Linked DNA regions of Elephas maximus indicus. The main gene of each other region encodes a partner of the protein of the gene in region 2 in a complex. Links are inferred from orthologs where the notes say so. Each region holds a gene or a part of one and is shown on either strand. Other genes may lie near its edges.

Region 1 (7,978 bases), on a different chromosome or scaffold from region 2:
ACAAAACAACTTGTACAAAGTAAAGTCAAGTCATGAAAGCCCTATAGACACATCCAAACTCCCTGAGGGACTGAACTGCTGGGCTGAGAGCTGTGGGGACCATGGTCTTGGGGAACATCTAGCTCAGTTGGCATAACATAGTTTATAAAGAAGATGTTCTACACTCTACTTTGGTGAGTAGCATCTGGGGTCTTAAAAGCCTATGAGTGCCCATCTAAGATACTCCACTGGTCTTACCCCTTCAGGAGCAATGGAGAATGAAGAAAACTAAGGACACAAGGGAAAGATTAGTCCAAATGACTAATGGACCACAACTACCACAGCCTCCACCAGACTGAATCCAGTACAACTAGATGTACCTGGCTACCACCACTGACTACCCTGACAGGGATCAAAATAGAGGGTCCCAGACAGAGCTGGAGAATAATGTGGAACAAAATCCTAACTCACAAAAAAAACACCAGACTTACTGGCCTGACAGAGACTGGAGAAACCCCAAGAGTATGGCCCCCAGACATCCTTTGAAACTCAATAATGAAATCACTCCTGAGGTTCACCCCTCATCCAAAGATTAGGCAGGCCTACAAAACAAAATGAGACTAAAAGGGCACAACAGCCCAGGGACAAGGATGAGAAGGCTGAGGACTAGAGGGGACAGGAAAACTGGTAATAGGGAACCCAAGGTCAAGAAGGGAGAGTGCTGACACGTCGTGGGGTTGTTAACCAATGGCATAAAACACTATGTGTACTAAATGCTTAATGAGAAGCTAGTTTGTTCTGTAAACCTTCATCTAAAGTATAATAGATAAATAACAACAACAACAAAACTATATGGGATCAAATTGGCAAAAACAACTGGAAAGATTAGATAGGAAACTTAGGAGGCAGCGAGTTTATATTAACGGAGGAGGAATAATTCAGAAAAGAAGGATGACAATGGTTGCACAACTTGAGAAATAGAATCAAAGTCATGGAATTGTACATGTAGAAATTGTTGAACTGTTGTAGGTTCTGCTGTGTATATTCTCAACAACTACGAAAATAAATAATTAAAAATTTAAAAAGCTAAAACTATCATTGTACTTACCTACGGATTTGTAAAAAGCTACTATAGGTTAACTTTTACTTGTACTTCACCTCCAGAAAGTGTTCCCTAACTTCCCTATCCTGGTTAGCTCCTTCGACATCCTGGGATGCCCCTATTCCAACACCTGTTCTGCTGTTTTGTGATCCGTCTGGCTTTGGCCTAGCCTATGAGCTTCATGTGGGCAGAGATTGTGTCTTTCATGTCTGTTTCCCAATACATGCTAAATATTTTTAAAAAGCGGGAGGAAGGTGGCACAAATATCTAGACCATTCAATGTTCTGCCGAAAACCAGTAACAACAACAAAACAAAATCAAAAGTAAAAAAACTCTTGGCAAAAGACATAAAAATATAACCAAATCATCAGAAGGGAAAACTCATATTGCTAAAAGTATACAAAGAAATGCTCAAACTAATAAGCAGCAGAAAAATGCAAATTAAGACAAAAATAAGACTTTCCTTTAACTTTTCACATTGGGAAGTGTAGAAAAATGGAAAGTAATGGGACTGTAGGGAAAAGAGCAGTCCGATGTACTCTGTAGAGCTTACGCTGGTATAGCCCTTCTGGAAAGCAAGATGACAGGGCTTGTCAACTCAAGTTGGCACATAAATTTTGACACAGGTTTCCACTCCTGGGTATATCTCCAAGGTAAATTCTTACATGAGTCCGCAGGGCACAGATGTCTGAGGATGTTCACCGCATTGTTATTTATGGTAACAAGGAGATGAAGGCATCCAGGTGTCCTTTCCTGGGAATAAATGGACATACTCTCTGGCTACAAAGCAATTAAATTAGAAATTAACAACGAAAAATGATCAAATCAAAACACTACAAAAAGAACTATCTACATTTAGGTGGCTTTTTCAACCCATGGTGTTAGAATGACTTCTGGAAAAAAACTGAAATAGATCCTGACTATCTGTTTCAAAATAAATTGCAGCTGAATCAAAGACTTAAACCATAAAATTAAAGCACTGACGAAAAAATGGGGAGAATTTTTAAAAATAATTTTTCAGTTGTGAAAATATTTCTAAGTATAACACAAAATCTGGAAGCCATTAAAGAAAAGATTGATAAATTTTCATAAATAATTACTAAAATATTTGGTTAAAAACTGCCCTAAACAAACTAAAGGAATAAATACCCTGCACACTGGGGGAAAAAGGCAATATATATGAGAGAAAGGGGGCTGATTTTCTTAAAATAGAGATCCTATAGGGTATAAGTTAATTAAAAAAAAAAAAAGCTGTGAGGAGGCTTTTATTTTATCGGTCCTGGGTTTTTAGAGTCACTGCATGAGCTCATGGGCTAGAAACTTTGTCAGGTTAATATTTTCAAAAGAACATTTACAGTTGTATTTTTCTAATCATAAAAAATAGTAAAGTTAACAGTCCTTAGAGAAAGCACAAGGAAGTTTGAAGAAGAAAATAAAAACTACTTACAAACTTACCCTTCATAAGTAATTCCTTTGATCACATTTTAAGGGTTTTCTTTCCCATCTTATTAACATATAATTTTATGTGTACATATATTCATATATAAACATACACAAACTTAAATATTTTGCCATATAATGCATATATATTATATATCTGTTAAGTGATAAATCTGTATAAATATATTTATATTATAAAATATATGTTTTAGAATACTTATATTTCATATATTTATATCCAAAAGTATTTATATATAAATATATATTTACATGATACGTAAACATTTATAACATATATCCATATAATTATATCATCATATAAACATAAAAATATTTTTTTCTTGTATCATTTTACTGCAAGTCTATGAAGAAATTGTTAGTATCACCTCCATTTTACAACTGATTCCCTACAGATAACTCCCATGATTTCCTCGTACCCACTCAAACGGATCACCTCCATGGCCCCAAGACCACCAGATTCCACCCTCGGCAGCCTAGAAAACTCTAGAATCAAAGGCCTTCCTCCCAAAAAGCCCAGCGATCTTACCAAAGAGGCAAATCCTGGGGCCCTCACTGTGGCAGAGGCTTCTTCAGGACTCTCTTCAGTAGGCCGTGTGTTGAAAACAAGAGTAAAACTCAAACTGAAGACCTGAAGGAAGGCACAGCCCAGCTACATTTCCTGGTTGATGAAACCTCCTGAGTCACAGAGACTACACCAGGAGGGCTGGCCCCTGAGCAGGCTTCTAGACCTGCAAGAGAGGCTGAGTGTGTAGTGGAGAGAGCACTGGGCAGGGAGCCTCGTTGTCTGAGCTGTGGCTCTAGCTCTGTGCTTTTGGATGGGTCATTTTGCCTTTGGGCCCTCATTTCCACATCCCAAAATGAGAGAGTTGGGCTGGGTGGTAACTAAGAACACTTTCTTTCCATGTTCAAGGAATTTACAGATTTTTATGTCTTCATCATGAAAACTTTATTCTTTCAATAAATATTTATTGAGCACCTTTGATCTGGGCCCTGGGGCTCTGACCCTGGTGAACAAAACACAGAAACCCTCTGCCCTCATGTCACAACTCAGATGAAATGTTTTCTTTGATGTTAAAATTAGAAAGAGGAAAAAAAAAAACTCACTTTTTGAAACCGCCTGTTGTCTTTCTCAAAACAGAATGTAAGCTTTCAGAGGGCAGGGACACATCTTATAGTTGCAAGGATAAAATGAGGTGTCTAAAAGTGCCTCTTCACCTGTAGAGGGCTAGATATAGAAAAAAAAAAAAAAAGATATAGACAACATCGTAATATCGATGTCCTCAGCTAGCACTTGATTTTTTCCAGTAAACTCTAAGTGAAAACATAGCAATACCATGAAAACCTGCTAGTTAGTGGCTAACTCCAAACCCCAGGAATTATATCCTGATTTTTCCTGATGCTGCCCCAGCATCCTGAGCAGCCTCCATCTAGGACAGAGACATGAAACAGCTTCTCTCTCAGAGCCATCAGAAGGAATCAACACAGTTGATACCCTGATTTGGACTTTTAGCCTCCAAAACTGTGAGACAATAGATTTCTGTTCTTATAAGTCACCCAGTTTGTGGTACTTTGTTACAGCAGCCCTAGGAAACTAACACAGAGTTTAATACCAGGAAGTGGGGTGGTGTTGCTACAAATACTAAAATGTGGAAATGGCTTTGAAATTAGGTAATATGTAGAAGCCGGAAGAGCCTTGAAGTACTTAATAGCAAAAGACTAGATTGCCTTGAAGAGACTGTTGGTAGAATTAGGAACATTAAAGGTGATCCCGGTGAGAGCTCAGAAAAAATTGGGGAGAGCTGTAGAGACATCCTCTATCATCTCCTTGCTGTTGTTGTTAGTTGCCATCAAGTTGATTCCAACTCATAGTGATACCATGTGTGCAGAGTAGAACTGCTCTGTAGGGTTTTCAAGGCTGTGACCTTTCGGAAACAGATCACCGGGCCTGTTTTCTGAGGCGTCGCTGGGTGGCTTTTAACTGCCAACTTTTCAGCTAGTAGTCAAAAACTTAAGCATTTGCATCACCCAGGGACTCCCCCTATCATCTTAGTGAATACAAATATCATCATGAACAGAATGTTACTAGAAATGTGGATATTAAATGTGTTTCTGATGAGGGCTTAAAAGGAAATGATGAACATGTTATTGGATGCTGGAGGAAAGGCAATCCTTATTCTAAAGTGGCAAACTACTTGACTGAATTATATTCAAATGTTTTGTGGAAAGCAGAGCTCAGAAGTGATGAGCTTGGATATTTAGCTGAGAAGATTCCTAAGCAAAATTTTGACAGCATGGCCTGGTTTCTTCTTCCTGTTTATAGTAAAATGAAAGTGAAAGAGATAAATCAAGGATTGAACTATACAAAAAGGAACAAAAACTTGAAGAGCTGGAAAATTCTCAGCCTGTCCATATTGTAAAAATTGAGAGAATGTGCTCTGGAGAGAAGAAGAGTATGGCTGGACAACTGTTTGCTAAAGACATTAGGAATGTCACTTAATATTAGGATCCAGGGAGGTGGCCCAAGATGGCAGAATACTCAAGAAGCTTCCTGTGGTCTCTCTTACAATAAAGGCTTGGAAAAAGCAAGTGAATTGATTATATATGACAATCTAGGAGCCCTGATCATCAAAGACAAAGTTGAGGAATCAAACTGAGCGGCAGGGGGGAGAGAGAGAGACCGTTCAGAAGTAGCAAAGTGGCAGTAGTGAGGTAGCTGGCACCCTACAGGCCTGTTGGCCAGAGCACTTGAGCTGAGGCTAGCAGCACTCTGGACGCATTTCCCCATGTCGGGAGAGACCAGGCAGTGACAGTCAGTACAAGCCTCCAGAGCCAGAGGGAAATGACGCTGGACCTGCAAAAGTGCAGCATCAACCTACCCAGAGGGATCAAAATAACCTCTTCCCCTCCAGGATTTTCACAGCAGAGAACTGCTATTTTCCTCTCACCCAGCCCCCTCTCCGCTCTGCTCAGTCACCAGTCTAGCAGTATTTAACAAATGCCATGCCGCCTAAGCTGGAACTAAGGCCTCCCAAAGCCCAAATCAGTCTTCCAGCTTTAGGAAAAAAAAAAAATTATATATATATATTAGGATTCAATCAGCCTTCTTAATAGAAATGTCACCGGCTTAGACTGAAGGGGCTAAAGACAGGATGAAAAGAAGTAAAACTGTCCAACTCCTGGAATGCTACAGGCAGGAAATGGGCTGATGGTGCTGCTTGGCTGCAAACATTTGTTGCCCTTCAAGAAAAGGAAAAGATGATCCCCAGAGCAATTCAGAGGCCAGCAGGGCTGCCAGCACAGGTTTGGAGGGCTGGGCTGCCACCTTCCTGGTTACAGAGGGCAGAGCCGCCTGTTCAGTTCCAGGGAGATGGGCATCAGAGCAGAAAGACTTTTGCCTCATTACTGCTCCAATTCAGAACCAAAGCCACTGAATGAATGGCGGGTGAAAGACCAAGAATGAAGCAGGCAGTCATGAAAGAGTTATCAAGGGTTATTAACCATCCCGTAGTAGTTATTTTTCAGAAAAATCTACTGTTGCTACATTTTTGTTACAACTTTTACAGCACTTCACCATGATTGGTCTGATCCCCAGGTTTCTTGTCTTCTCCTGGCAGGAGGCCTAGGCACAGGTGCACTGACTCTGAATCTACCCACTATTTGACCTTCCTGGGTGACAGCAGTGAGCCATCGCCATTTTTTTAGGGCCGTGTGCAGTATTTTTAGAGCCCTGCACAAAAACCCATTCACTAAAATTATGCGTACTGTGAATGCATCGAAAGACTGAAGATCCTCCCCTCACTGTTCATGTACGTATGTTACTCCCTATAAAAGGAGCAAATCTGCCCTGGTTCAGGGAGCTGGCAGCCTTAGGTCACGAGACCCTGCTTGTCTCCCAGTTTGCAAACTGTGACTAAACCTTTCTATTCTTCCAACCCTGTGTCTGGCTGACTTCAATTCACTAGTTGGCCTGACAAGAACCTATTAGATGACGGCTTCAAGAAGAGGAAACAATCCCTTTCAACTGGAAGCCCTCTAATTATGAGTCATCCCTAGCTGCAGGTGACATGAAAGTTTTATATCTGGACTAGATTTTTAATAACTGAATATGAGCCACAACTATCTAAATAATATCTTTCTTACAACCAAAAGAGAGTCTAAAGCTATAGGATCTACCCTATGTCTAACCAGGGCCATCACTGAAGACTTGTACCATCACTGAAGATAGGGATGGGAGAAAAATGAAAGCCCTTCCTGTTTGTGGCTGGGTGAGTTCAGCCCAATCAATAAGTACTAGCTGTTTTTTTAATTTTTGTTTTGCACCTCTTAGTCCACCACCTTGGTCTACTGGAATCCTGCCCCACACCATTCCAATCTCCACCCACATTCCCAGGCTCTGAGCTGCACTCCAATCTCATGGTCTTCAGACCTCTCCTCAAGTCTTTATCTCTAATTCTTACTTCCCCTCCAGATAAACTAACTTTCCTTCTTGTCCCTCTGACATATCCCTCAAGTATAAGTGTCATTTACAGATTCTCTAACGCACATGGTCTCCTCTAATGTCTCCTTTGATTTGTTTTCTCCAATTCATTCCCTTTATCCACGTGATCTCATTTGGTCAGTGGAACCCCTACAAAATTATGGTTTGGAGTTGTTTTTCTCAGGCAAGTGGGAGTCTCCCTGCAGGAGGGCTGTGTTCAAACAGGAGATGCCTTGACCCTGGTTCTCCTCACAGACCGCAGCTTCCACCTGGAGCTCCCCTGTGGGGTCTGCCTGGTTGGTGCCCCTCCTTTCTCTCTAATACCTCAGTACCTTCACAAAGCCTTCCCTACCAAATAGAGGCAGTCACAGAAAAAAACTGGGAGGACGTACCTAACAGCAAAATGCTAACAGTGATAATCTTTAGATGGTTGGTTTATAGTCAATTTTTTTTTAATTATCTATATGTTAATATTTAACATCCTGCATTTATGTTCTAATGTATCCCAGATAGCTTGAAATCTAAATGTATTTGTGATCTGCAATCTAAATATATTTGTTTGCTAAACATATCTGTAATTGACATTTTCTTATCTATATTTTCTAATTTTTTTCAGTTACCATATATTCTTTTTGTAATAAAAAGTTTTAATTTAAAAGCATTTTATGTAAATATAGATTTTCATCACCCAGTTTCTGGTATCCTCTCTAAAGCCTATAGGCAGGTGGTCTTCATATTTTATTTAGGTTCATGAGCCCCCCCTAGATTTTTTGTTTGTTCACGGCATGATGGTTAATTTTGAAATCATGAAATTTTGAGGATATTCTTAATATACAGCACCCAAACCAGCATATATGATGCTTGTACTCTTTGACACAAAATCAGAAACCAAAGTCTTCAAACGTTTCTTCATTTTTGATTTGTAATCTGTCCCCTGCTGAAACAACACTTCACAGTTT
Region 2 (7,540 bases):
GATGCGGGTCACAAAGTAGCGCCTGTTTGTTATTACAAACCACTGTATGTACCTCAAATTTTTAATATAATGGCTTTATATGATATTAAATATACACTTAATATAATATAAAATTCATAACTACATGTTGTACATAAGTTGATGTTCATAACCCAGGGGCTGCCTGTAGTCAATTTTGTAACCACTGAATATCTTAGGAAGACCTTGAGAGTAGTTTAATGAGGGATACCCAAGAGACACATAAACACTAACTGTAGGCATGCAAAGAACAGCATTATAAAGAATAGTTAATGACGGCACACTAGCTTGTGAAAACATGTTATGATAACCGATTTCAACTAATGATGTAACTGGGTCCATTTCAATGGAATCTGTTAGTGTTTCTGCACAATGGCTGCTATGCAAATGACTGTTAATTCAAAAATGGCAGTTAAATTTTTTTCCCACTGAAGTTAATAAGAAATTTCACAGATTGCTTCCCAATGCAGGGGCAAGTCTGAATACCAAAAGATTCATATTTACCTTTTAGTGGTCAATTTTTTCACCTAATTTATTTTTTCTTTATTTTTCAACTATGACCCTACATAACAAGCGTGTGACAGACAATGCTGGTTGCCTACCTATCTGCCATTGCGCCCCCTCTTCTTATTAACAGAAGCTGATTTTACTCAGGTATCCAACACAACCAAAAGGCTTCTCTTTAAGGTTTCTTTATTTTAATCTTCTCATGCTTAACCCAAGACAAACAGGAATTCTAAGGAAGAGCCAAATGATCAGTAAGAGACAGTAGGATTGAAAACTTTATATCAATTATCCCATCATGACCCAGTGAAATAAGTTCTTTACCATCATTCTTAATTTACAAATGAAAAAACTAAGTTAAGTGATTCACCCAGAATGGCCAATCAGGAATCAAACCTTTGTCCCTTCACTCCAATTTCTATCATCCATTCTCTAGTTTCTCTGGATCGCAAACAGTGACTTGTCTTTGGAAAAATCCAGATGCAGAGACCCAACCTGACAGCCTTGCTCACCTGTATGAGTCTGCTATAGTCAGAAACACAGGGAATGCACAGGCTAAATTCTAAAAACATGAAAATACATAGCTCAAAACTCAGCATTATACAAGTTAAAATAACCAGTTGCCACGAAGCTGACTCTGACTCATGGTGACCCCATGTATGTCAGAGTAGGACCGTGTTTTCAATTGCTGATTTTTCACAAGAAGATCAGACCTTTCTTCCGGGCAGCTCGGGGTGGACCTTCAACCTTTTGGTTAGAAGCCAAGCTCATTAACCACTCAGGTTAATATACATAGTCAATCACTTTTGCCAGAATAAAATATCCAACCAAAGCATGGGAAGCTAGATTTGTTTTTCAAATTCCCAGATTATATCAGCAGTGTTAACATGTCATGGATTAATAAACCCAAAATAGTAGCTCACCTAGTTTGGAAGTTGATAGTTTGCCAATTTTACTCAATACTCATTAACATTCAAATTCCTGGAAGTACAACAGATCCTGGGGCTCAACATAGTTTCAGAAAGAAGAAGAAAAAAAATTAATCATTACTGCTGTTGTTTTCAGGAAGAATAATGATGATACACTCCAAATCTCATTCTAGGCAAGCTGAATCCTCCCTTTTTTGTATAGAAGAGCCACAGTCTTCCACATTTTTAAACCAACCACAAGTCTCTCCGACTCACGCACCTCTACGCTGGTTACAAAAAGTCCACTGAGTACTAAGTTACTCAGTATTTCAAAGTTCACTCCTTGCCTTGGTGACTTCAGGAGTAAATCAGGAAGAATTAATAGTGATCTAAAGACCAAAAAAAAAAAATTTTTTTTTTTTTTTTAAGACCCAAGGCTTGCTCCAGCGTTCTTTGATTATAATAGCCCCGTGCTCTGCCCAATATAAACAAGAGCTCTGAACACAGAAGAGCCAAAGAAATCAACAGACCCCGGAGCCTTGTGATTCTGTCAAATGCTTAGGAGAGGATGATGCAGCGTGTACTTTTCCGAACGCTGACGAGATTTTGGAGCACTTCACAAAACCCAAAGCCACGACGACAGAAGATTCCTTCTAGGGTTCTCACACTCGCTCTCTTGTTGCTGTGGCTGTTGACCGCTCCTTTCCCATCTGCCAGCTCACGTCTAAGATAAAGAGAAATGCTGACGTCTTTGCAGCCTGTTGAGGCTCCCTGTGCGACAGGCCCTTTCCAAGGGTAAGTGAGCAGTCCCAGCCAAAGACACCTAAGGAACCCTGTTATGGCAAGAGCACGCGCTACTCTTAATGATCCTGCAATAACACCCTGCATCGCTACCAACACAGCACAAGTAACAACCACAGCGTCTGTTCGCAGTCCCATCGAGATGGTCGCCCCAGACCAGGTCGCGGCCCTGATCCGGGACTCGAGCCCACACCAACACTTCCTCCTCTGAGGAAGGGGCGCGCAGCCCTGGCCGGCCGCGGACCCCAGGGCGCGTCTCGCACACCCGCCTTCCGGGAACGCGCGCCCCGCCCGCGCCCGCACGCTGGATTCGCTTTCGTTTTCGCCACCAACTTCCTCCGGCCCGAGTGGGGAGAGTTAGGGGTCGCTGACGCGGCGGCCTCTCCAGAGGGCAGCAGGGAAGGGAGCCCAAACCCCCAAAAGGGGCCGCCCTGATATAGGGCTCGGGGGACGGGACCGGCCCGAGGAATGACCGCCGTTCACTCAGCGCCGCCCCGCTAGGCACGCTCACCGTGCTCGGCTCCTCGCGGGCCCCAAGGCCTGGCCTTGACCACTGCGCACGGGCGCCGCGGGCTGCGGGCCGCCGTCTTCGATTTGCGCTTCGCAGGGTAGCCAGGTCCAGAGGCCGCTCCGTGCGTGTCGAGTGTCGGCCGCGCCCAGGGGTACTCAGGCGGGAGGCGTGGACCACTTGCAGCTCCTACGCTGCTCCGCTTAGTTCTCCTCCTGATCCTTTTCCACCTCTGGCCTCTCCTTCCTCAGCAACTCAACTTCCTTCTCCTGATCTTCCTCCTCCTCCTCCTCCTGCTCCTCCTCCTTCTCCGGCCCCTCCTCCTGCTCCAGCTCCTCCTCTTCCTACTCCAGCTCCTCCTTCTCCACCTCCTCCCCTTGATCCTTCTCTTGCTTCTCCTTCACCTACTCCTTTTCTCACTCTTCCTCCTCCTCCTCCTGCATCTCCTTCACCTGTTCCTCCTTGTCCTCCTGCTTCTCCTCCTGGTCTTGGTCCTCCTGATCCTCCTCCTGCTCCTCATCCTCCTCCACCTGCTCCTCATCCTCCTCCTGCTCCTCATCCTCCTCCTCTCCTCCTGATCCTCCTCCTGCTCCTCATCCTCCTCTCCCTCCTCCTGATCCTCCTCCTGCTCCTCATCCTCCTCCCCCTCCTCCTGATCCTGCTCCTCATCCTCCTCCCCCTGCTCCTGGTCCTCCTTTTGCTGTTGGTCCTCCTCCTGCTCCTGATCCTCCTTCTGCTCCTGGTCTTCCTCCACCTGCTGTAGGCCTCCTCCTGCTCCTAGTCCTCCTCCTGCTCATGATCCTCCTCCTACTTATGGTCCTCCTTCTACTCATGATCCTCCTTGACCTTCTCCTCTTCCTTCTCCCCATTTTCTTCCTCCTGCTCCTGGTCATCCGACCTGCGCGGGAAGGAGGGAAGTGGACTCTGGCCCTACTAGCAGCCAGTGGGACAGGAGGAGATCTTGAGGGAGGAGGGGGGTGATACCCCTCATACATTCCCAAATGTCTTTTCACCACCACTCTGAGATTGTGCCCCCAGATTGAAAATCCCAGAGCACTGTCTCTCTTTACTTTTAGAGATCCCCTGTCAGCTAAAGGATGGCGATTTTAGTTCATGTTAAGGAGAGTTGAAGGGCCAAAGAAAAAGTTACCAACTCATAGAAGCCTCTGTGACATTGAAGAGGCGCTTGGCATAGCTGGAGCACTGGGTGGGTGGAGATGGTCACTGCCAGGTGCAATTTGAGTTCTAGAACCTCAGGCCAATTTTCTCACTGAACTGCCTTCATTTGTAAAGTGAGGCTAATAAAATCCACTCTGCAGGGCTGCCCGGGAATGAATCAGATATTTATTGTGCAGCCCTTTACAATGGCAATTTGAAGACTGAAGCAAAATGAGAAATATATGCTATAATGTTATCTTAAGGAGCAAGCTATAACATTGTATACACACCTTGATTAGGTGTGGTGAAAAGAGATAGGCATATGGAAAAAGATGGTAGGGGCATTATCCACTCAGCAACATTTCTGACCATCTGCTGTGTGCCAATTAGACGCTAGATACAGTAGTTTCTGGTGGTAGATACAAGTGATACAAAAAAGCACTCATTCATACAATAAGAATTTCATACATAAATATTTACTGAGCACCTGTTGTAGGCACTGGAGATTATCCTGTGAACAAATGAGACAAAAATCTCTACCGAGAACAAGATGGGACCCAGCTACCACCACCAACTGCTCTGACCCAGAAACTGCTCTGGCAGACGTCACAAAAGAGAATCCCAGAGAGATCGCAAGAAAAATGTAGAATACAATTCGAATTCACAAAAAAAGACCAGACTTGTTGGTCTGACAGACACTGGAGGAAACCCCACGAGTATGGCCCCTGGGCACTCTGCTAAATCAGAACAGAAACCACTCCCGAAGCCTACTTTTCAGATAAAGATTAGGCAGGCCTATAAAATAAAAATAACACATGTGAGGAACATGCTGCTTAGTTCAATCAAATATATGAGACCAAATGGGCGACTCCTGTCCAAAAGCAAGACTAGAAGTCAGGAAGGGACAGAAACTGGATGAATGGACACAGGGAACCCAGGGTGAAAAGGGGGAGTGTGCTGTCACATTGTGGAGGTTGCCACAAGTGTCACAAAACGATATGTGTATAAATTTTTGAATGAGAAATTAACTAGAGACGTAAACGTTCACCTAAAGCACAATAAAATCAAAAAGAGAAAAAAAAAAAAAACCCTACCCTCATGGAGCTTACTTTCTAGTGGGGAAGACAAAAAAGAACCACAATAAGTAAATTTTGTCACACGTTAGCAATGAGTGCTAAGGAAGAAAAGAGAGCACCAGAGCTGGATAGGAAGCATGCATGGAATTATGAGGGTGTGTCACAGAGTTAGACGGGGTGGCCAGGAAAGACCCCTGTGAGAAGGCAACGTTTGAGCAAAAATCTAGAAGGAAGCTGGGTAGGGAGCCGTGAGGATATCTTGGGGTCAAGCACATTGGGAAGAGACGGAGAACAGTAAGGGAAAAGCCTGTGAGGTGGGAGCACGGCACGTGGGTGCACAGCAAGGAGGTCCTTTTGAAATGAACAAGATGTAAAGTAGTGACAGAAGGTGAGGTCAGAAAGGTGGGATTGGCAGGGAGGGGCAGATCGTGTGAGACCCCATAGGCCATTGTAAGGAGTTTGCCTTTACTCTGAGTAAATTGAGGGTTTGGTGCAGAGGAGAAGCTTGACGTAAATTACCTTACAATAGAATCATTCTGGCTACTGAGTTGAAAATAGGTTGAAAGGGGCAAGAGCAAAGCAGGAAGACAAGTTAGGGGGCTATTGCAACAAGGCAGACAGGATGAGGACAGCTTGGGCTAGAGCGATAGCAATGGAGGTATAGAGAAGTCGTCAGATTTTTGATAAAATTTGCAGGTAGAGCTGACAGGATTTGCTTAGAGATCAGAAACAGGATGTGAGAAATGAAGAGTATTCAAGCATAACTGGAAGGTTTTTGTCCTGAGCAGATTGAGGTATAGAGTTGCTGTATATACAAAGATGGGAAAAATAGTGAGAAAGCAAGTTTGGGGCATGTTATGAATTGAGCTGTGTCTCCCCCAAAATAAGTGTGTGTATCCTAACGTAAGTGTTGTAATCCCGCTTGGGAATGGGTTTTCTTTGTTATGTTAATAAGACAGTATTAGTGTAGCTCGTGTCTTAAGTCAATCTCTTTTGAGATGTAAAAGAGATTAAACAAGCAAGCAAGAGGGCAGAGATGGGAGAAGAAAAAGGCCAAGCCACATGAAGATCACCTAGGAGCAGAAGCTCAAAAGAGAGAGGACCTTCCTCCAGAGTGTGAGCCGGCACCCTGAGTTTGGACCTCTAGTACCCTGAACTGTGAGAAAATAAATTTCTCTTTATTAAAGACACCCATTTGTGGTATTTCTGTTATAGTAGCACTAGATAACTAAGGCCAGGCAATATCAAGAGTTCCATTTGAACACGTTCATTTGAGACGCTTACAGACATCCAAGTGGAGATGTCGAGTAGGTAGGGAGGTATATGAGTATAGGGTTCAGGAAAGAAATCCAGGTTGGAAAGTCATCAGCATGCGGATGGTATTTAAAGCTATGAGGCAAGATAATCGAGGGAAGGAATATGGATAGAAAAGAGAAAAGGTCCGAGGAATGAACCCTGAGGTTCTCCAATGTTTAGAGGTTGACGAGATGAAGAGGAGCCACCAGAGAGGTAGGGAGGAAGCCAGGGCCGTGTGGGCTCCTGAAAAGTTAACAGTTGTGGCAGATGCTGCAAACGTGTCAAGTAAGATGTAGACTGAAGATCCATCATTGGATTTGGTAAGATGGAAGTTGTCAGTGACCAGGTTAATGTGAGGTTTAGTGGTATGGTGAGAGCAAAAGCATGTTTGGAGTAGGTTCAGTAAATGTTGGAGGAGAGGGGGAGACAGTTTAGAGACAGTGACTATAGTCAAATCTTTAAAGAAATTTTGCAGAAAAAGGAATGAGATTGATAAGGCAATAGATAGGTAGAGTCAAAAACGAGCAATACCCATATTTAGTCTAAGGCACTTTACAGCTCAATGGAGAGGCATCTTTCAATAAAAATGGAAATGTTATATAACAAGGGCTATGATAGAGGCAAGTACCAGATACTATAACAACCACAAAAAATATTGGTCTGACAACAATGAAATTAAACTAGATATCATCAGTAATGTCAAGATAACTAGAAAATCTTCCAATATTAAAAATTAAGCATAACAATTCTAAATAACCAATGGACCAAGAAAAAATTATATTAGAAAATATTTTGAACTGAAATGATAATTAAAAATATGTATGACGTATATATAAATAAATGTATGTATGACATATAGTATGTCATATGTATTTTTGTGGGATGCAGCCAGAGCAATGCTCAGAGGGATATTTCTGGCTTTAAGTTCATACATTAGGAAATAACAATGGTTGAAAATCAATGCTATTAGTTTTCTCAAAAAGGTGGAAAAGAGAACAGCAAATCAGGCTCAAAGAAAATGCAGTGAAGATCCAATAAAGATAAAAGCAGATATAATTGAAATAGAAAACAAACATACAATAGAGCAAATCGAGAAGAACAAAAGTAGATTCTTTGAAAAGGCTGAAACTGACACCCGCACCAAAATTAACCCAGTTTAAAAAAAAAAAAAGAGAGGGAGAGAGCACTGATATCAGGAATGAAAAAGAAGACATCAATACAGAATTTACAAACATTAAAAAATTTAAAATAAAAAAATCCAATATTGGATT
Region 3 (7,565 bases), on a different chromosome or scaffold from region 2:
TCCTCCCTGCAGAAGGAAGCCGCCCCTCCTTGGAGCCTTATGAAGTAGGAAGTAGCCCTACGGTTAACCTCCATCTCAGCCAGAATCCTGATAGACATTCAGAAATAAATCTTTCCCCTGAGGCCCAGGAGACCCTACTCCTGGGTCTCTCTCAGATCTCAGCAGCCTGAGCATGAATCTGGATCCTTCTGCACCTACAAGGTCCTGGTCTCCACCTCCCTGACTTCCCTCCAGGTGTCAGCCCCACTTGCCCCTGGGTCTTTCTACATGTTCCTCGGCCAGGGACACTCAGCCCTCTCTTCCCTGTCCAATGACTGGACCTCCAGCTCTCGCTGACACTGTCTTCTTGGGAAGCTCAGCACAGGTGGGTGCTCTTTGTGTGTGGATCCCCTGAGAATGTCCCCAAGGATCCCCTACTGTAATCCCCTGAGGCATCTGGCCTGTTTCCTGTGGCACCTCCATCTTAGCACAGTGCTGGACACATAGTAGGTGCTCACGAAATGGCAGTGAGCAGGTGAGTGAGTGAGTGAACGAGTGGGTGAGTGGGTGGGTGAGTGAGTGAGTGGGTGGGTGGGTGGGTCAGTCAGTGTGTGAGTGAGTGGTTGGTGAGTAAGTGGGTGACTGAGTGGGTGTGTCTCTACCAGGACAGTTGTCCTGGTTGGTGAGTGAGTGGATGAGTCAGTGGGTGAGTGGGTGGGTGAGTGGGTGGGTGAGTGAGTGGGTGAGTGAGTGGGTGGGTGAGTGAGTGGGTGAGTAAGTGGGTAAGTGGGTGACTAAGTGAGTAGGTGTGTCTCTACCAGGACAGTTGTTCTGGTCGGTGAGTGAGTGGATGAGTCAGTGGGTGAGTGGGTGAGTGAGTGAGTGGGTGGGTGGGTGAGTGAGTGGGTGGGTGGGTGGGTCAGTCAGTGTGTGAGTGAGTGGTTGGTGAGTAAGTGGGTGACTGAGTGGGTGTGTCTCTACCAGGACAGTTGTCCTGGTTGGTGAGTGAGTGGATGAGTCACTGGGTGAGTGGGTGGGTGAGTGGGTGGGTGAGTGAGTGGGTGAGTGAGTGAGTGGGTGGGCGAGTGAGTGGGTGAGTAAGTGGGTAAGTGGGTGACTAAGTGAGTAGGTGTGTCTCTACCAGGACAGTTGTTCTGGTTGGTGAGTGAGTGGATGAGTCAGTGGGTGAGTGGGTGAGTGAGTGAGTGAGTGGGTGGGTGGGTGAGTGAGTGAGTGGGTGGGTGAGTAAGTGGGTAAGTGGGTGATTGAGTGGGTGTGTCTCTACCAGGACAGTTGTCTGCCCAGCTGACCCAGGGCAGGGTGTGGGTGACTCACCATGGACCAGCTGACAAGGCCTCAGTTCTCCTGCCCTGACTTTAAGGAGCCCTAGGCAGCCCACCCCATCACCCCTGCTCCTCCCCAGGGGAGGATCTCAAACGTCAAAACTGGCTGCTCTGCAGAAAGCCAGACCCAGAGGATTAAGTTGGGTAGAGGTGGTACAGGCACGCCCTGGAGCCACCAGCTGGGGAGAGCCCACAGTGGGTGGAGGCCTTCCTGTCATCAGGAAGTACCTCACCCCCAAAATCCCCAAGGGAGGCTCACAGTAGGCCCTTTCTGGGGCAGTGGCCCACCCCTTTCGATCTAGGTTTTTCTTTCCTAATGGGACGCTCCTTTAGGTGTCTTGGCTCCCTCGGGCAGGGCTCAGTGGGGGAGGGGATAAATGGAGCTCCCCTTGTGATCAGGGAAAGAGCAAGTACAGACCTGGGAGTGCTGCCCCTTCATGCAAAGTGACACCCCCAGTGGGAAGTGACACCTCTCCAGCTGGCTGCACACCTGCTCTTTGGCTGGTTTGGAGGAGTTTTGGTTCTCGCAACGCCTGCTCAGGAGGTTGGCTCCACTTCACCTCTCCCTTTGTCTCCTCCTAACTTCCCCGACACCAAAGGAGAGGTGGACCCTGAGAGTCAGTGAAACCAGAGCCCTAGGGCTGGCTGGCTCAGGCTCCTGTGTGCCCAGCTGATATGCCTGAAAACGGATGTTGTAAAAGGGACCGAGTGTAAGCGACCAGTTGTAATGGAACGGAAATCAGCCAGAGGAGAAAAAAAGTGAGAAAAGCCTTTACCAAGTGCCCTTGCCTGTACCTGCAGGGGCCCCACACTCTGCCGGCCCCCTCCCCAGCACACCCTCTTCTCCTTCAGACCCTGTAATGGGTGCTTTCCCAGGGTTCAGCCACTTATTAGCTGTGTAACCACTCAGTGCCTCAGTTTTCCCCATCTGTGAAATGGGAATAATAACAGTGCCTACTTCAGTGAAGCGGTTCCACTCTGTCCTATCGGGTCGCTATGAGTCGGAATTGACTCCACGGCAGTGGGTACTTCAATGATTGTCGTAAGGATTCAACGAGACAAGAACTTGAAGCACCTCCAGGCACAGACCACGGGGCTTAGTGAGTGCCTGAGCCCAGGATTCAGGCACCATTAGCCTTTGCGGTTCTTCCAGGAGGAAAATGTTATCTGAGGCAAGAAGGAAACGGGGGAGGGGGGGACACACTCACATACACATCTTATCAAAGCAATGCCCTTGCCTCTCAAAATGAGTATAAAGAACAGTTTCCAAGCCCAGCTCCCACACTCGCCAGCTGTGCTAGCCCCAAGAGAGTCCCTTTGGCTGTGTCATCTGTAAAGCGCCGCTGCAGGCTGTGTTGCCAAGATGCAGGCAGGTGTGCTGTGAGGTGTCTAGCACATAGTCAGCTCTCTAAACAGACTCTCCTTCTTCCTATTACAGGTGTTGTTTAGGATACTGTTGTCATCACCGCTGTCATCTGGGCCAAGGAAAGGAGCCAGAAAGAGAAGCTCATATCCCACCCTGACCCCCAGGCTTCTTTGGAAGGAAGAAGTAACTACCTTTTTCGCCTGGGTCAGCAGGGGTCTCGGCCATACTGAACGGTGGCCCCGGGCTCTTGGTCTGGTGAGTCCTTTCGTGGGTGAGTCCGGTGCTTCCTGTGGTTCTTCACTCATAAGAGAAGTCAATTCTAGCTGGCGGATGTCAGCTGCTCACATCTCGGAAACAGGCCTAGCCTGTCTGGTTTCCTGCCAGCCAAACCTGATGAATTTTCTACAGAAACAGAAAGTGAAGCTTCTCCTTGTGGATTTTGAAAGAAACGAAATTGAAACCGAAGATTGATAGGCGGGACGGGGTGGGGAGGATGGGCTTGGCATGACCACAACAGCCCAGGGAGCTCCCGCACCATGCCCAACCCCAAAGCACAGAGGAGACGTTCGTGTGCCTATCAAAGTGACAGCTCTTTTCAGTGAGCACCTACTGGGCACTCCCAGCCTTGTGTGCCCCTCTACCTGGGCCGGTATTGTCTTCTTTCCTTGGAGGGGAAGCTGAGGCTGGGCCAGCAAGGTCTCAGCACAGGCAAAGGCAGCCTTACCTGCTACTGCCATGTGTTCCCTGGTCTGTAAAATCCAGACGTCTCGGGTGAACCACTCTCAGCTCACAGACCACATCAGCTTCCCAACCTCACGCTAGAACCTGCTGAATAATGTCAGCATAACAGATTAGAAAACACCTTCCTGTGGTCACTTCACAAATATCCCCTGAGGTTAACATCTGGGGGAGGGGGTACTCGGTGGAGCCTGGAGCCAGGATGCTTGGGTTCAAACCCAGCGCCACCATCTACTGGGTGTGTGACCTGGGGCACGTTACTTAACCTCTCTGTGCCTCAGTTTCCTTGCCTGTAAAGTGAAGTTAATACAAGTACCTGCCTCACATTGAATTGTAAATGTGGAAGTTGTTGTGTTTGTAGATGCTATACTCTGTGTATTTTCACCACCATAAAAAAGAGAGAGAGAAAAAAGAAAAAAAAGTATTCACTTTATGGGGCCCCGATCAGACTAGATGGGTTAACCCACTGACCAACCTCCCCCTCCCCGCGGTCTGCGATCATAACCTCATCTATTTCTCTAGTAAAAGGACTTTGATAAATTTTCAAATTTGGGGCCGGTGACCCCAAAGCAGTTCAGAACGACCATTCTCTTCCAGGCTACACAAGGGGAAACTGAGGGCAGCCCAGAGGTCAGGAGCTCAGCCCCAGAAATCTCTGGACTCAAGGAGACCCAGGGCTCTCCTCTGAGTCTCAGCACAGAGGGCTGGGAGGGTTTGCAGGTCCATGCGCACTTGGGGGACCCCTTCCCCCAGCAGTTCTATGCAAGGAGGGGCTTAGGGACAGCAACTGGGATGGAGGAGTCCTGAGGTTCGCTTGAATGTGTCTTTGCGGAGCAGACAGGAGGTGCCCACCTAATCTGAGCGATTCCCAGTCCTGGCTGCAGGTTAGAACTGCTCAGGGAGCTTTAAAAACCACTGGTGTCTGGCTGCATCCAGACCGTTAAATCCGCACCTGAACGGCGACCTCATAGCAGCCGAGGTAGAGAGTCAGCAAGTGTGGGCCAGGTCTATAAAAACAGCAAACCACCACGACATTTAGTTCCCCTCCATGTATAACTGAAAAGGAGCAGGTGGTTTAGGGTACTCAGGAGGTCACAGAGGCGCCCTCGGGAGGGTCTTGGGTGCAGCCCCCAAAGGCAAAGCGGGCAGCGGAGAGGGCGCAGTGCCAGGACTGGCCACCAGGTGGCGCCGGCTCACCAACCTGGGCTCTGGCACGGTCGCTCCCGGACCCTCTGATTTAGGAAAGAGGACCACCACCTCAGGTGAGGACACCCTATCCTGCCCCCCGCCTGGCCCCCGTCCGTCCTCCGTTCTTCAGACTTCCTGTCCTCGCATGTGTTGATCCATCATTCTTTCTATATCTGATAGAGTCAAGATCCCAGTTCTCTAGCTAAACCTCTCGAGGGATCCTCAGCCCTCATCGGACCGGCTTCTCTGCGACCACTGGCCCTCGGGAATCTTCTCTCCTCTGGCCTCCAGGCCTCACCCCTGGGTTCTCCCTCCTCCCTGGCAGCTCTGCTCTGGCTCCTTGGTCGGGTCCCTGCCTGCTCCTGATCTTTCAGGGTGGAGACCCAGGGCTTGTCCCTGACCCTCTAGGTCCCCAGGGGACGTAAAGCTTAATCCTGAGGCTCTGATGTGCTTCTAGAAAGACCGCTGTGCTGCACTGGGGGAGGCTGGTGCCCTTCTTGACCGGTTATCTGGCCTGTGTTTGGAAGGTCCCATCCTGTCCCCACTGCCCCTGGAGCTGCTTCTAGGAGCTGGGAAGGCCCAGCACCCCAGATGAGCCGCTCTGTCTTGCTTCCTTCCCAGCACAGAGTTGGAATGCAGCTCCGCGCCTCCCTAGCTGTGTGAGGCCACCTCTCTGAGCCTCAGCTTCCCTAACTATAAAATGGAGAGAATAACTAGCACAGAGCATTGCTTTCTGGCATGTGGTATGTGCTCGCAATATTTGCATAAGTTAGAAAATGTGACGTGATGTGTCTGTACAAAATAACTCCAGGCACTGAGAAAAAAAAGAAATAATTAGATTTTAAAATAAGAAGTAAATAAGTAGGTTTTTTAAAAGGAGAGAGGAGAGAAAACCATTAACGTGGTGGTTTCCACCTTCTGCTAGATTCCTCACTCCACACATGTGGAAGGGAAGCCCAGGATCTGCTGTGAGCATCTCACAGGCACTCACTGCGATCCTTACACTTAAAGACTTCCATCATCTTGTATCTCTCCTCTTGATTTAAAAGATGTTCAAGGTAACAATGACTATAAGTGATTGTCTCAAAGTTCACAATACAGATGCTTCTTCCTTTCTCCCATACCGTCTGGGAGGTGGTCTAGGTTCAGTGTGGCACACTCTGGTGTCAAGTCCCAGGATCCTTCTTTCTCATTGCTCTGCAGCTTGTGGCCTCCACTCCCAGGCTTGCCTTATGTTCTAGAGTGGCTGCTCAAGCCCCAACCATCACATCTGCATTCCTGCCAGTGGGAAGGAAGAAAGGGAAGGAGAGGAAGTATGTCTCCTTTAAGATCACTTCTTGGAAGTTGCATCTACCTTTTGCTGACATCTCCTTGTCCAGAGCTTAGTCTCATGGCCCCATGCATCTGAAGGGATGGTTTTTACTCTGGGTCACATGAGCCCAGGTAAAATTAAAAACTAGTTGCCATCAAGTCATTTATGGCTTGTGACAATCCCATGTTTATCAGAGTAGAATTGTGCTCCACAGGGTTTTCAATGGCTGATTTTTCAGAAGTAGATCACCAGGTCTTTCTTCCGAGGTGCCTCTGGGTGAACTCGAACCTCCAACCTCTTGGTTAGCAGCTGAGTATATTAACTGTTTGCACCACCCAGGGACTCCCAGATAAAACTGGGAGTTCTATTACTATAAAAAGGAGCCCTGCTGGTGCAATGGTAAGTGTTCAGCTGCTAACCAAAAGGTTAGCGGTTGGAACCCACCGTTGGCTCCACAGGAGAGAAGACCTGGCGATCTGCTCCATAAAGCCTAGGAAACCCTGTGGGGGCAGTTTTACGCTCTCATACAGGGTTGCTATGTGTGGGAATCAACTCGATGGCACCCAGCAACAACAACAACATGACTGTAAACTAAAGGACAGCGGATGTTGTGGACACCTAGCTGTTCCTGCCACTGTGATGGTCCCCTAGGTACAGAGCCAGGCTGCCATCTCCATGCTTTTACACGTCTGCTCGCTGGAAGCTCCCTATTGAGCAGGTGCTGTGCTGAGCTCCAGGAGGCTGAGTTCAAGCGCAGCTTCTCAACTCTCAAGAGTCTCCAGTCCAGTGTGGAAGGCGAAGGGGAAGAGGAAGGCAGGCAGGTGTGGGGACCTACTCCCGCTCCTTGGGAAAGGACTTCAAAGGTCGCCGCAGCTCCAAGATGGCGCCCTGCCTGCTGGAGCCCAAATCTTTTTGCCTTGGAAAGCACGCTTTCTTTCCACGGCTTGTGTTTTTCTGGAAACTACTAGAACTCTCCTCCCAAACCAGATGATAATTACATGTTACTGATCTCGAGTCTTTAAATTTCTCTCTCCGCCTTTTAAAAGAGATATTTTTACTGCACATTGTGTTGGCAAAACCCAAGTCTCCTTTCTACCAGGCAGCCTGGATTTTATTTTCAGATTATCTCTGTGAATTCACGGCGGGGAGACAAAAAGGTCTGAAGGCACTGAACGTGGATAATTACTTGTCCTGGGTCGGGGGCAAAGGTCAGAGACGCAGAGGTAGCGGGGGAGGAGGGCTGCCCAGGGTCACATGGTGGCGGCCATCAGTGAAGCCAAGCTCGGCACAAAGACCCAGCAAAGCAGGTATGTTCAAGGTGTGGGCTTTCTGCTGTGGTCCCCAGGGAAGTGGGTCCTGGCTGCTGTCCAGTGTCCTTCATGGTGTCCCCATTGTTCCTCTGTGTCCGCTGGAGCTGGACAGACCTGGGATTCTGGTCCTGGTGCCTCCACTTCTTACCTCTGTGCCTTGAGCAAGTCACTAACTTTTCTGAGCCTCAGTTTCTCCTTCTGAAAAAGGGGATCATAGTAGTGCCTACCACATGAGGAGGCCCCTGGGTGGCGCAGATGGTTTGCACTCGACTCCTAGCCTAAAGGTTGGTGGTTCAAACCCACTGACCAGCTCAGCGGAGGAAAGGCCT

What was found. The genes of interacting proteins can lie anywhere in the genome.
Region 1: RIPK1 (region 2) and caspase-8-like share a complex: the UniProt entries of both Homo sapiens proteins name them as parts of the AIM2 PANoptosome complex. The link is inferred for Elephas maximus indicus from reciprocal best matches to the Homo sapiens genes RIPK1 and CASP8.
Region 3: RIPK1 (region 2) and ZBP1 share a complex: the UniProt entries of both Homo sapiens proteins name them as parts of the AIM2 PANoptosome complex. The link is inferred for Elephas maximus indicus from reciprocal best matches to the Homo sapiens genes RIPK1 and ZBP1.

The regions. Positions count from the first base shown.
Region 1 is NC_064824.1:100,030,167-100,038,144, reverse strand, and holds the start of caspase-8-like, read right to left. Parts: upstream 3,087-7,978; 5' UTR 3,069-3,086; intron 1-3,068. UniProt on the Homo sapiens protein: Thiol protease that plays a key role in programmed cell death by acting as a molecular switch for apoptosis, necroptosis and pyroptosis, and is required to prevent tissue damage during embryonic development and adulthood.
Region 2 is NC_064819.1:43,619,865-43,627,404, reverse strand, and holds the start of RIPK1 (receptor-interacting serine/threonine-protein kinase 1), read right to left. Parts: upstream 3,024-7,540; 5' UTR 2,743-3,023; intron 2,733-2,742; exon of another isoform or gene 1,961-2,732; intron 1,522-1,960; exon of another isoform or gene 1,446-1,521; intron 755-1,445; exon of another isoform or gene 621-754; intron 1-620. UniProt on the Homo sapiens protein: Serine-threonine kinase which is a key regulator of TNF-mediated apoptosis, necroptosis and inflammatory pathways.
Region 3 is NC_064843.1:11,620,877-11,628,441, reverse strand, and holds the start of ZBP1 (Z-DNA-binding protein 1), read right to left. Parts: upstream 3,087-7,565; 5' UTR 2,914-3,086; coding exon 2,880-2,913; intron 2,490-2,879; exon of another isoform or gene 2,281-2,489; intron 2,002-2,280; exon of another isoform or gene 1,813-2,001; intron 1-1,812.